3 linked regions of the Coturnix japonica genome follow. The protein of the gene in region 3 interacts with the protein of the main gene of each other region in a pairwise test. Links are inferred from orthologs where the notes say so. Each region holds a gene or a part of one and is shown on either strand. Other genes may lie near its edges. The genes, in order: SDCBP, ISCU and HPRT1.

What was found.
Region 1: the proteins of HPRT1 (region 3) and SDCBP interact in binary tests that used the Homo sapiens proteins (3 or more experiments, as listed by UniProt). The two-hybrid records come from large-scale screens. The link is inferred for Coturnix japonica from reciprocal best matches to the Homo sapiens genes HPRT1 and SDCBP.
Region 2: the proteins of HPRT1 (region 3) and ISCU interact in binary tests that used the Homo sapiens proteins (3 or more experiments, as listed by UniProt). The two-hybrid records come from large-scale screens. The link is inferred for Coturnix japonica from reciprocal best matches to the Homo sapiens genes HPRT1 and ISCU.

What each region holds. Positions count from the first base shown.
Region 1 is NC_029517.1:101,325,154-101,329,352, forward strand, and holds the start of SDCBP (syntenin-1), read left to right. Parts: upstream 1-1,251; 5' UTR 1,252-1,382; intron 1,383-4,199. UniProt on the Homo sapiens protein: Multifunctional adapter protein involved in diverse array of functions including trafficking of transmembrane proteins, neuro and immunomodulation, exosome biogenesis, and tumorigenesis.
Region 2 is NC_029530.1:5,668,554-5,672,626, reverse strand, and holds ISCU (iron-sulfur cluster assembly enzyme ISCU, mitochondrial), read right to left. Parts: upstream 2,819-4,073; 5' UTR 2,807-2,818; coding exon 2,720-2,806; intron 2,644-2,719; coding exon 2,530-2,643; intron 2,197-2,529; coding exon 2,086-2,196; intron 1,364-2,085; coding exon 1,285-1,363; intron 1,069-1,284; coding exon 977-1,068; 3' UTR 526-976; downstream 1-525. Other genes in the region: SART3 (squamous cell carcinoma antigen recognized by T-cells 3), read left to right, coding at 3,116-3,283.
Region 3 is NC_029519.1:3,926,194-3,928,753, forward strand, and holds the end of HPRT1 (hypoxanthine-guanine phosphoribosyltransferase), read left to right. Parts: intron 1-536; coding exon 537-613; intron 614-1,219; coding exon 1,220-1,267; 3' UTR 1,268-1,928; downstream 1,929-2,560. UniProt on the Homo sapiens protein: Converts guanine to guanosine monophosphate, and hypoxanthine to inosine monophosphate. Transfers the 5-phosphoribosyl group from 5-phosphoribosylpyrophosphate onto the purine.

The sequences.
Region 1 (4,199 bases), on a different chromosome or scaffold from region 3:
CTTCACTGCAAGGGGCTCATTGCAGGACAAAACACTACACCCCCTTCTGAGGTGTAAGTATTGTAAATTTTTCACTGCACTTCTGTGAAAATTCACTTTTGGCTACATAGAAAATTCATCACTACAAAAGCAGTATTTGAGTTGTGCTGGAGCCTAGTTGAGGTGTCCCACAGGAGGGCCTGAGCACTGCCATGACTGGCTGAGGAGAAGCCGGCAGCTGCAGGGCAGAAGGAAGGAGCTGAAGGCAGAGACTTAACATGAGAGACTTAACATGAGGCAGAGAGACTTAACATGAGCCAGCAGTGCGCTCTGGCAGCTCGGAAAGCAAATGGGATCCTGGGCTCCATCAGGAGAGGGGTGATCAGCAGGAATAGGGAGGTGATTGTCCCTCTCTACTCGGCTCTTGTGAGGCCCCATCTGGAGTACTGTGTCCAGGTGTGGAGCCCTCAGTACAAAAAAGACATGGAGATTTTGGAAAGGGTCCAGAGGAGGGTCACGAAGATGATCAGGGGGCTGGAGCACCTCCCCTATGAGGACAGGCTGAGGGAGCTGGGTTTGTTCAGCCTGGAGAAGAGAAGGTTGCAGGGTGACCTCATTGCAGCCTTTCAATACCTGAAGGGAACTTACTCCCAGGAGGGGAGTAAACTCTTTGAAAGGGCTGATAATAGCAGGACTAGGGGAAATGGTTTTAAGTTGAAAGAGGAAAGATTTAGGTTGGATGTTAGGGGGAAGTTCTTCACTAGGAGAGTGGTTAGGCCCTGGAACAGGCTGCCCAGGGAGGTTGTGGATGCCCCGTCCTTGGAGGTGTTCAAGACCAGGTTGGACGGGGCCCTGGGCAACCTGATCTAGTAAAAGTGTATGTTTGGTGGCCCTGCCAGGCAGGGGGGTTGGAACTACATGATCCTTGAGGTCCCTTCCAACCCGGGTCATTCTGTGATTCTGTGAAGGCAGGGGCTGGTCTCCTCCTGTGGGGCTGGAAGGTTCAATAAAGGTGAAATACCTTCATTGAACACCCAGGTTTCTCAACTGGAGATAAGATTCAGGGAGCTCAGCACATCTAGTTGCCTGTCTGATGAACAAGTCGGGGACCATAGCGAAGAAGGATTTTTCAAGATGGAACATTGTGGTAAACAGATCAATGCTATAAACACAGAGAATACGTGTGGATTACGGCAATTAAGTACAGAAGCCTTTCTAACTCGCACAGAACTTCTCTGCCACGGCTACACCCTGTGTGTCCCTCAGCCCCGCCCTCAGAGCATGCGCAGAGCCGGGCCAGCTCCACCACCGCCCCCGGTCCCCTCATAGCGGCGCGGCTCAGAGTTGTGCGGGTTCTGCGGTTCTTCTGTGCGCTGACCCCTTCTTCGACGGCAGGACCGGAGGTACGGGGGAACTCTTTCCCTTTTGGCGGCCTCCCGCTGCCTTTTGTGGGTCTGGGGCGGCGTGACTTCCTCGGCGCTGTGTGAGGAGGGGGCGGGGAGCTGCCTCTGCGCCCCGAGCAGCCATTTCGTGGGGCTCCGGATTGTATGTCTGCCGATAGGAGCCCCCTCCTCACACTGTGAGGAAATGAACGCTGTGTGCGTTGGTAGCTGTTCTCTGCTTTGTGTTCGAGGTTTTGGGGTGCTGCTCCTTCCCGTTCAGACTGCGGGTCCCCGGCGTATGGCTTGATTCCCAGTCAGCCCCCCTGCCCCTCAGCCTGGGGGTTGGGCGTTCGTATCGCTTTCTGTTGGGATCCGGAGGTGGAACGGATGTGTTTTGCCTTTGTGGGAAGGTGAGCCCTTCCTCAGCTCTGAAATGGAGGCAGCACCTTCCCGAGTTTTGCTCTGTAAGGAGGGCAACGCTCGGAGGCCAATTAGGTGGTATCAGCAGGAAAACGCCGTGTGATTAGTGGAGGTCACAGCTTGCAAAACAGCTGCTGCCTTTTCCTGCTGTCTCAACCCGACCTTCGGGAAGTGACTCCTAAGTTTGGAGAAGAAACTTAACCTCACAACTTTCGAGCAGTTCCGAAAGCCAAAGCTGCTATTCAAGTGCTTGTTTTGTGGCCACAGGCACCAGTTACCTTTACTCACCCCACTCCAGCTCCTGGTACTGCCAGCTGCCTCTTTCAGAGACAGTGATAGCCACAGATCAGACATTAGCTAGATCTCAGGGTGCGTTCAGCTCTGTGGATTCCAACCCAAGGAGTGTGTTGGGCTGCCCGTTGTTCTTCATGCAAACCTGCATGTCAGCAGATTGCTCTTACCTACAGGACTCCCTGCACACAGCCTGAGTGTCACGAGTGCTGCCTGTTGGCTGGGCGCTGCCCTTGGTCAATAGGATCTGCTTGGCCAGGCATCCTGCTGAAGGACCTTCTGGCCTGAGGATACTTGGAAACAGGGATTTCTTCTTTCCTTTTTTGCTTTTGTGCTTTTCATGAAAGCCTCAGCTTAATATATATGTTCTTAATGTGCTGTAGGAACCTGTAAACAACCGGATAATGGTTCTGCTGCCAATGTAGGCTCCTGAGGGAGGACGGGAGGTGAGCAGCTCCCGCTGTGTGGTAACCGCTCCCCAGCTCCTGTCTGAAGCCGTTCCAGTGGCTGCCCAGACTTTGTGTTCAGGCTTATTATTGCTATGAGTCACTTATGGGTTCTTCCTGAGGTTCCCGGCGGTCCCTGACGATGATGGTAGCTGTTAAATGTTTGTGTTTTGAACTAAATACAGTACTTCAGGGCATCTCATGTTGCCTAATGAGACGTTGGGTGCGTATTTAACTGTTAGAAAAGCCTGTGTGGAAATAGAAAACGCTCCTTTTTTTGTAAGAGCAACAAAGCTGGTATGTAAGGAGATAAGAATGCAGTTAGCAGTGACCGTTATTCCAGTTATTTATTGGAAAACCAAAAATAGCATCCAGTGAGATTTGGAGAAGGAAGCTGGCAGGGCAACTCATTGGGAGCTGTGACACACCCGAGGGTTTGCAAGTTTCCAGTTGGGAAGGGAGGTGGCCTTGAGTGGTGGTGAAGTAGCAGGGTCAGCTTCTGGAGGGGTTTCTTTGGTGCCTGGAGAGCCAATATGAAAGTATGAGGAGCAATTTTGAGGTGATAGCCTGTGATGGGTGTTACTGGTGATCGCTATGCAGGGTGAGAGTGGACTGTAGGGAGATGGCCCAGCTGGAAGTGGGATGATATGGAATGATGGCCAGAACCAGAGACCCATCAGATGCTACAATGGGCTCTGAGTGCAGTCTGTGCTGCTGTGAATACGATGCTCTGTGTAGCTTTACTGCAGATAGAACTCTAAAATAAACAAGGGGAGATTTAAGTTAGATGATAGGGAAGAAATTTGTCTCTCTGAGGGCAGTGAGGTACGGCTGCCCAAAGAAGCTGTGATTTCCCCATCCCTGGAGGCACTCAAGGTCAGGTGGGATGGATGTCCTTGTCTGCTCCTGCCCACTGCAGGGGAATGGAACTGTATGATCTTTAATATCTCTTCCAGTCTAAGCCATTCTATGCTTTTAGCAGCAGAACGAGGTGGCTGGGGACTGCTTACCTGAGCGTGCGTTGTGCTAGGCTTTGGCTTGCATATGCTGTTCTTTTTGATGGAGCAAAAGCATTTGCATTGATGGCATTCAGGTCAATGCTGCATTAAAATGAAGTTTTACACTGTCGTTAAATGCATCTGTTTAATTTTTAATGTTTCTGGGTCTCAATTCTATTTCGTTTGTTTGCAATGACCTGACAAAAACTATCAGTTGCAAATAATGCTAAACGCGTGGCCACTTCTGTTGGGGTAGTTTAGATCTTTGTCCCGCTTTGGGCTCCCTTTGGAAATGTTAATTGTAGTGTGACATGATACTGGAGCTGCTGGGCGCTCTGCTGAGCAAGTAGAAAAGCAGTTGATGTCATTAATGTTATGTGAAGAGACATCTATTATGTTACTGCAGCAATTAATCATCTTTAGTTTGTTTAAATCAACCCAGCGTCTGCGTGTAAAGAAGCAGCAGCTCAAGGATTTATGTTTAGGTTGGATATTAGGAAGAACTTCTTTACAGAAAGGGTAGTTAGGTACTGGAATAGGCTCCCCAGGGAGGTGGTTGAATCACCATCCCTGGTTGTGTTTAAGAGCTGTTTGGATGTGGTGCTCAGGGATATGATTTAGTGAAGGGTTGTTAGAGTTCGGGTACTGGTTAGGCTGCGGTTGGATTTGATGATCTTCAAGGT
Region 2 (4,073 bases), on a different chromosome or scaffold from region 3:
AAGCTATCAGAAATAGCATCCAAAATCAGCTCCAGCAGCAGGTAAGGATCCCCTTCTGCCCCTGGCTTAGTACCAAGAGCACTGGCTGCTCTCTCTGCCCTGGAAGGGATGGGGGAAGTTCAGAAGACACCCCCAGAGGGCACAGGCTGACTCCTGCTCTTCCAGGGAGGTTCCCCTCAGTATTACATCCCAGTTAAGCTATTTGCATTCTGGGTTTGAATCCTCAGCGTGTGTTTAATCTCCCTTAACAGTATTTGGCAAACTAAAGGGTTGAATGCTTTTAAAAGATGCTCCAACATTAACCCTCCTGCTATTGGAGGATGTGAACACAAACATGTCCTGCTAACGCTGCTGGCTCTGAGCTTCCTGGCAACCAACTGCAGCTGCTGTTATTTGCTCACCTCCCACAGTCAGTGCCCTCTAGTGCCTGGTGAAGCATCCCAGCTCCTCCCAGAGAGCAGCGTGACGCAGGGGATAGACAGCATGTGAGAGGTCACAGATTGTGAAACCAAACTCCAACACAGCTGCAGCCAAACCACATGAGATTTATATATACTGTATTGATTGACAAAGTGACCCACATAAAGACCAAGGCAACCAAGTTTCCCACCAAACTCTTTGTAAAACATTAGGCAAAACTATACAGAAGAAAAAAAGTGCAGCCCTTCCAATGCTGGAACAGGAGGATTCTTTCTCTCTTGAGAAGCTACCGGGGGGTTGCCCTGAAGCAGAGCAGCCCTTCACTCTCACCATTTCAAAACCAATCCTGACAGGACACAGGCTGCTGAAATACCCACGTTCCAGTCATTTAAGCACTACCAGGGTGGCTGTACACACATGACCAGTGACACGTTGTGCGTTGAGTTGTGCGTATCTTACAGCTTCTTGAGTAGTGCACAGGATTCTATTAACAGCTAGAATAATTGCACTGCAAATTGAACTGGAATGAGGACAACCTCTACAGTCTGTTTAGGAATTAGTCTGCTTTCTGCTCTGACTCTCCTTTCTTTGGATCCTGTTTCAGTTTGTAGTCAGCCAAGGCAGCCTTGATTGCATCCTCAGCCAGCACTAGGGGAGAAAAAGAGCACAAAACAATGTCATTTACAAGCACTTTAAATAACAGTGACAAGTCACTTAGAACAAAAGATGCAGTACAAGCAGAAGCAGCCAGCAATAACCACCACTGTGGGTCAGCCTTAGCTGCTATGTGTGCAAAGCTTTATTTGGAGAACGTACAAAAGCATCTGTGTTCTCAAATAACAACGTGTTTGATGCTTTACTTACTAGAGCAATGCAGTTTGACCGGAGGAAGGCAAAGTTCTTTTGCAATGTCTGTGTTCTTGATTTTCAATGCTTCATCAATCTGAAATGTATGGGTAGGGTACAGTCATCAGTCAGGCATACACATGTACATATGATGCCCACACACCACGCAGGTATTTGATACAGGTGTGCTTCAAAGCACTGGAACCAACCAAAGTCACGCTCTGAGAAGGCAGTAAAAGCTGCTGATAGTGTTCTACCATAAGAAAGGCCTTTCAATAATACCTGTTTTATTCTGCTCCTGCCAAGCAACAAATCTGCAACCTACTACAGGGAACCTCCTTTGGCAGAGGAGCTGGACTAGGTGATACTCAGAGGTCCATTTCAACCCCTGATTCTATGAAATATAAGGAATGTCTCAAAGTGTGCAGTGCTTGTTAATAAACCAGAGCATTATTTTACTGCTGACCAACTGCAGGGACTGTTCCAGGTTTGTTCTGCTGTAATATAGAAACAACCTGCTTGTCACAATGCCAAGCACACGGAGATCAGCCAATGGAAGACATTCCACTATACAAGTGCTTTCTTTATCTATTTTCGATTGCTGTGTAGCACCCAAAGCTTCTTCACAGCTTATTGGAGACTTCCAGAAAAGGCAAATATTGCTTTAAAAGTCAGGAAAGATGAAACTGCATTCTGAGCTTCTATGTGAGTGTAACACCTGGAGAGCACCTCTCTAGACCCCTGTTTCCTTCCCTGATCCCAGCAGTGGGTGTGAATATGTACCTGCTCCCCACTGTGCCCCTTAAGCCAAGCCCTTACCGTCTTCCCTTTCACCCACTCTGTTGCCAAGGAGCTGGAAGCGATGGCAGAACCACAACCGAAGGTTTTGAAGCGAGCATCAACAATGCGGCCGTTCTCATCCACTTCCACCTGTGGGAGTTATCAGAGGGGCGCTCAGTTCCACGTAGGAACCACACACAAAGGGACAGCGATAGGACAGCGAGTTTAAGGCTGGGGGTTTATCGGATTTTAGGGCCTGCAGAGGGACTTTAAGGGACAATGAGTTTAAGGCTGGGGGTCTATTGGATTTTAGGATCTGCAGAGGGGCGTAAAGGGACAGCGAGTTTAAGGCTGGGGGTCTATTGGATTTTAGGGCCTGCAGAGGGGCTTAAAGGGGGTGTGACGGAGGAATCCTATGTCACAGCCATATGGTGGCAGACACTGATGGTTGTGTCCTTACAGGGCACCCCGTGCTCCCCTCACCTGCAGCTTCATAACGTCTCCACAGGCCGGGGCTCCCACCAGGCCCGTACCCACGTTCTTTGCGTTGCGATCGAGAGAGCCCACGTTCCGCGGGTTCTCGTAGTGATCCACCACCTGCGAGAACAACGTGTCACTAACAACCCCCAACGGGCACTATGGGCTCCCCACAGCCCTACCCGGCCCCTCTCACCTTCTTGTGGTAGCCCGCCCCCCCCACCGCCGTCGCCCCCCGCCCGGGCCGCAGCAGCGCCGCCCCCGCCGCCCTCAGCGCCGCCATCTTGAGTCTGCCCGCACCTGGCAGCGGCGCTCTGCCCCAACCCTCCCGAAGGACCCCTGGAGGCCGAGGCCCTGAGGTGTCCGTGGCGCTGCCTCTGCAGCAGACTAAATTATAAGGAGTAACGGGCCGAGCTGCTCGGCTTTTCGTGGCAGTTGGACGCGGAGAAGAGCAGAACCTTGTCGGGAGAGTTTATCGTCCTTTCTTTCACCGCTTTTGGCTGGGGGGAATGTACAATATTGAGACAGGCGCGCAGTAGCCAACCCCATCGGCTGGCTGAGAGCGGCCGGCAGCGAGGCGAGCTGCAACAAGATGGCGGCGGCGGGAGCCGAGGCGGCGGTGGAGGAGGAGAAGCGTGTGGTGGAGGGAGACCCCGAGTCGGGGGGGGATTCGGAGGATGAAGGCGACTCGGATTCATCAGGAGACGGCGAGGATGAGGAGAAGGAGAACGAGGCGGAGATCCAGCGGCTGGAGGAGCAGGTGGGGCCCGGCTGTACCGTGCTTTGGTTATGGAGATCTGGAAACGCCTCCGGGCGTGATGCCTTTTAATTCGCTTTTTATTCCTCGCTTCAGGGCGAGAGAGACTCAGGGAGCAGCCCTGGTATGTTGAAAGTGAACTCAGATGGTGGTTTCCTTAGTGATCTTGAAGGAATTAAAACGCGTTTGCTGAGGAGGGCTCACTGGGTGTTAGCGCTGTGTCTGTACTTGGGGGCTCTCGGGCCTTAGGGCTGTGAGTTCAGTCTTCTGCAGAACTTTAAAGCCCAGCTTTAGTAACAGGGATCTTCTATGAAGGGCTGCAGAGGTGGTCGGGGCCTGCAGCTTCTATTTGAGGAGCCCTGAGGCTGCCCTTGAGGCAGGAGGGAAGGCTGAGGGAGCAGCACTTGTCAGGGTAGAAATCGTGAAGATGGGGCCAGGTTCTTTTCAGCCATGCCCAGCTACACGATAAGGGGCAGTGGGCACAAACTGGAACCCAGGAAGTTCTATCTGAACGTGAGAAATAACTTCTTCGCTGTGAAGTTGACAGAGCCCTGACACAAGCTGCCCAGGGAGGTGGTGGAGTTTCTTTCTTTAGAGATGCTCAGGATCCACTGGGATGCTTTCTAATGCTACCTGCTGGGGGGAGGGTTGGACTGAGGGATCCTCAGAGGACTTTGCCTTTTCCTGTCACTTACAGTTCTGTGATTCTGTGTAACTGAGCAGGGAGGTGAATGTCTGTCTGTACTTGGCCCTGGTGAAGGCAAGGCATCTTAAGTGCTGCGTTTAATTTACT
Region 3 (2,560 bases):
CCGAAATGTACCACCCAGTGCCATTTGGACATCTCCAGCAACTTTATTGGGCTCCACAGTGTGGGACGTGTTTTAACAAGAACTTAGCCTTTGGAATGGGGATAACGTGGACTGTGCACTTTCACAATGGAAGTGGAGTGAATTCAGCCGCAGAATCACATCCTCTTCCTTCTTCTTTCCAAGGCTGTACAGTACTGATGGAAGCATCTCAACACCTTGTTCCTTAGGTTGTCTTACAAGCCTCTGCAGTTGGACTGATGCTGCCCAACCATCCAAGGGCTATCTTGCTAGAGCTGTGCCTGTTATGCATTAGAAATCAATATATAAACCTATGTAATTTTGATTTAGTTGAATTTAATGAACAAAGAATGTCAGAAGTTCAAAATAACGTGAGTATTAAGCTGAGGATACTCGAGTGGAAGAAATAAAATGTTAAGCAGCTTATGCGTTGATAAAACTACTAGTCTGTGTAAACAGGTCTGGTGAACTCAAGGAAGTTCCTTTCTAATGTACTGGTGACTTATGTTCTTTTTTAGTTGTTGGATTTGAAGTGCCAGACAAATTTGTTGTGGGATACGCCCTCGATTACAATGAATACTTCAGAGATTTGAACGTAAGTAATTTTTCCCGTGTGTTTTGTCCATTTAAAACCAGGGAGGAGGAAGGAAGGGAAGTCTCCTTACGTTACTCTCCCTCCTCTGTGTAAATCGCAGCTTGTGTGCAAGGTCAATCCATCAGTGATGAGGGCAAACCTTAGAGCAGTGCAGCAGTGTTATGGAGCTCTGATAGATCTAATGGTTGTTTTGCTTCACGTGGAACGGAGGTGATGTACCTCCTGTTGGCCTTTGAAATAGTGCGGCAGTTCATGTGAAGTTTCTTATCATACCAGATATCTACATTAAATTTGCTTAGTTACATAAAAATTAAAGGAGAGAGACCTCAAAAGCCTTTTTATGCTAAGACACAAAGTCTTCACCTGGGTCTCATATGTCCTTATAATGGACACTGAGTGGGAGAGGAAAGAGAAGGAAGGCAACGCTGAGGTTTGTAGCCCAAAAAAGGCTGAAGTTTTTCTGCACAAACAGAATCAGGACACTCCTCAGGGCTGACACTTGTGCAGCGTGCTTTTCTTTCTTTCAGAAGCGCAGTATTGACTCTGTGCCTGAACATGAGTTTCTTACCTTACGTTTCTAACCGAGCTTTCAATGTTTTGTTTCAGCATATCTGTGTGATCAGTGAGACGGGGAAGCAGAAATACAAAGCATGAAAGCACAGCTGAAGTGCTATGCCTACAAAGCTTTGAAATGTTTTGTTTACCGAATCCTATCTCTCACAGGCTTCAACTCTGGTACACCAGCTGAAATTGTAGAACACCCCAGCCCCATCGTCATATGCTTATTGTAACTTATTGCATGTACAATATAAGAATCTCGTCTTGTTCATTTATATTATAGAAATGTAAACAACTGGTGCAATTCTGCACTCCTTATTTTGATTTGCACTATGACTCTACCGACTATTGCTGCCCCTGGTTGGGTTGTGCTGTTTGTGAGCTCCGGAGTCTTAACTCTTGCAGTGGTAAATTGCTTAAACCTCATCAACCCAGAACTGAAATAGTTCGAGTACTGTAAATGTAAAACATTTTATGATAGGGAAGTCTATTAGTAATATTTTTAAAGAAACTGTAATTTAAGTTTTATATTTTAATTCACAAATGTGATTGTGATTAAAGGATAGTTGCACCTTTGGGTGGTATGAAACATGAGAAGCAGCCAGTTACAGTATCTGTAATCTCCAGGGAGCCCACTGCCACCTCCTGGAGTTGCCTTATTGCTGTAAAAAAAAAAAGGAGTCTGGGTGAAAAATGATGTCTTTTTATTTTTTCCTTTATTCGAGATGGAATGACAAAATGGAATGTTTGAAGTTTAGCTTTAGTTGAGCTGCCTGTTTCTTTCAGATTATTATTATTATTTTTTCCTTTAAAAATATCCATCGGACAGTGGAATTGCCTTTGAAATTTAAACAGTTTTAATATATTTGTGGGGGGAAAAAAAGAAGTATTGTAATGTTTACTTTATAAGAACTACAAAGCAAAGTACTTTAAAATAAAGGCTGTCTCTTTAAAATACGCCCCACACATCTATGCCACTCACTGTGTATATTGAAGTGCTCTCAAGGTTCTCTTCTCAGCACATATTTCATCAGTGCTTCTGGCAGTGAAGGCAGGCTCCACGTCTGTTACCTCTGTAGAGCTTTCTGTCAATACAGTGTTGTCTATGGGAGATAATGAAGGCCTGAGGAAAGCTTTAGGAAGACTGGCATATGCTATAACCAAACTGGATTTCAGAGAGAACACTCAGAGTGCTGTCCCTTCTGTTTTGGCAAGAGTGAAGAGCGACAAATATTCCTTCATTAAACACATAACTGCGGGGAGAGAAAAGCCCAGCCAATTTGTAAGTAATTGTTTGGTTTTATTCCTGTCTTGTTTGTGTTGTAATGCTAACCATGGCAGCGCACACCTTTCCTTCCGCTGTGCTGCTCCATCCTTTGCTTATGCACT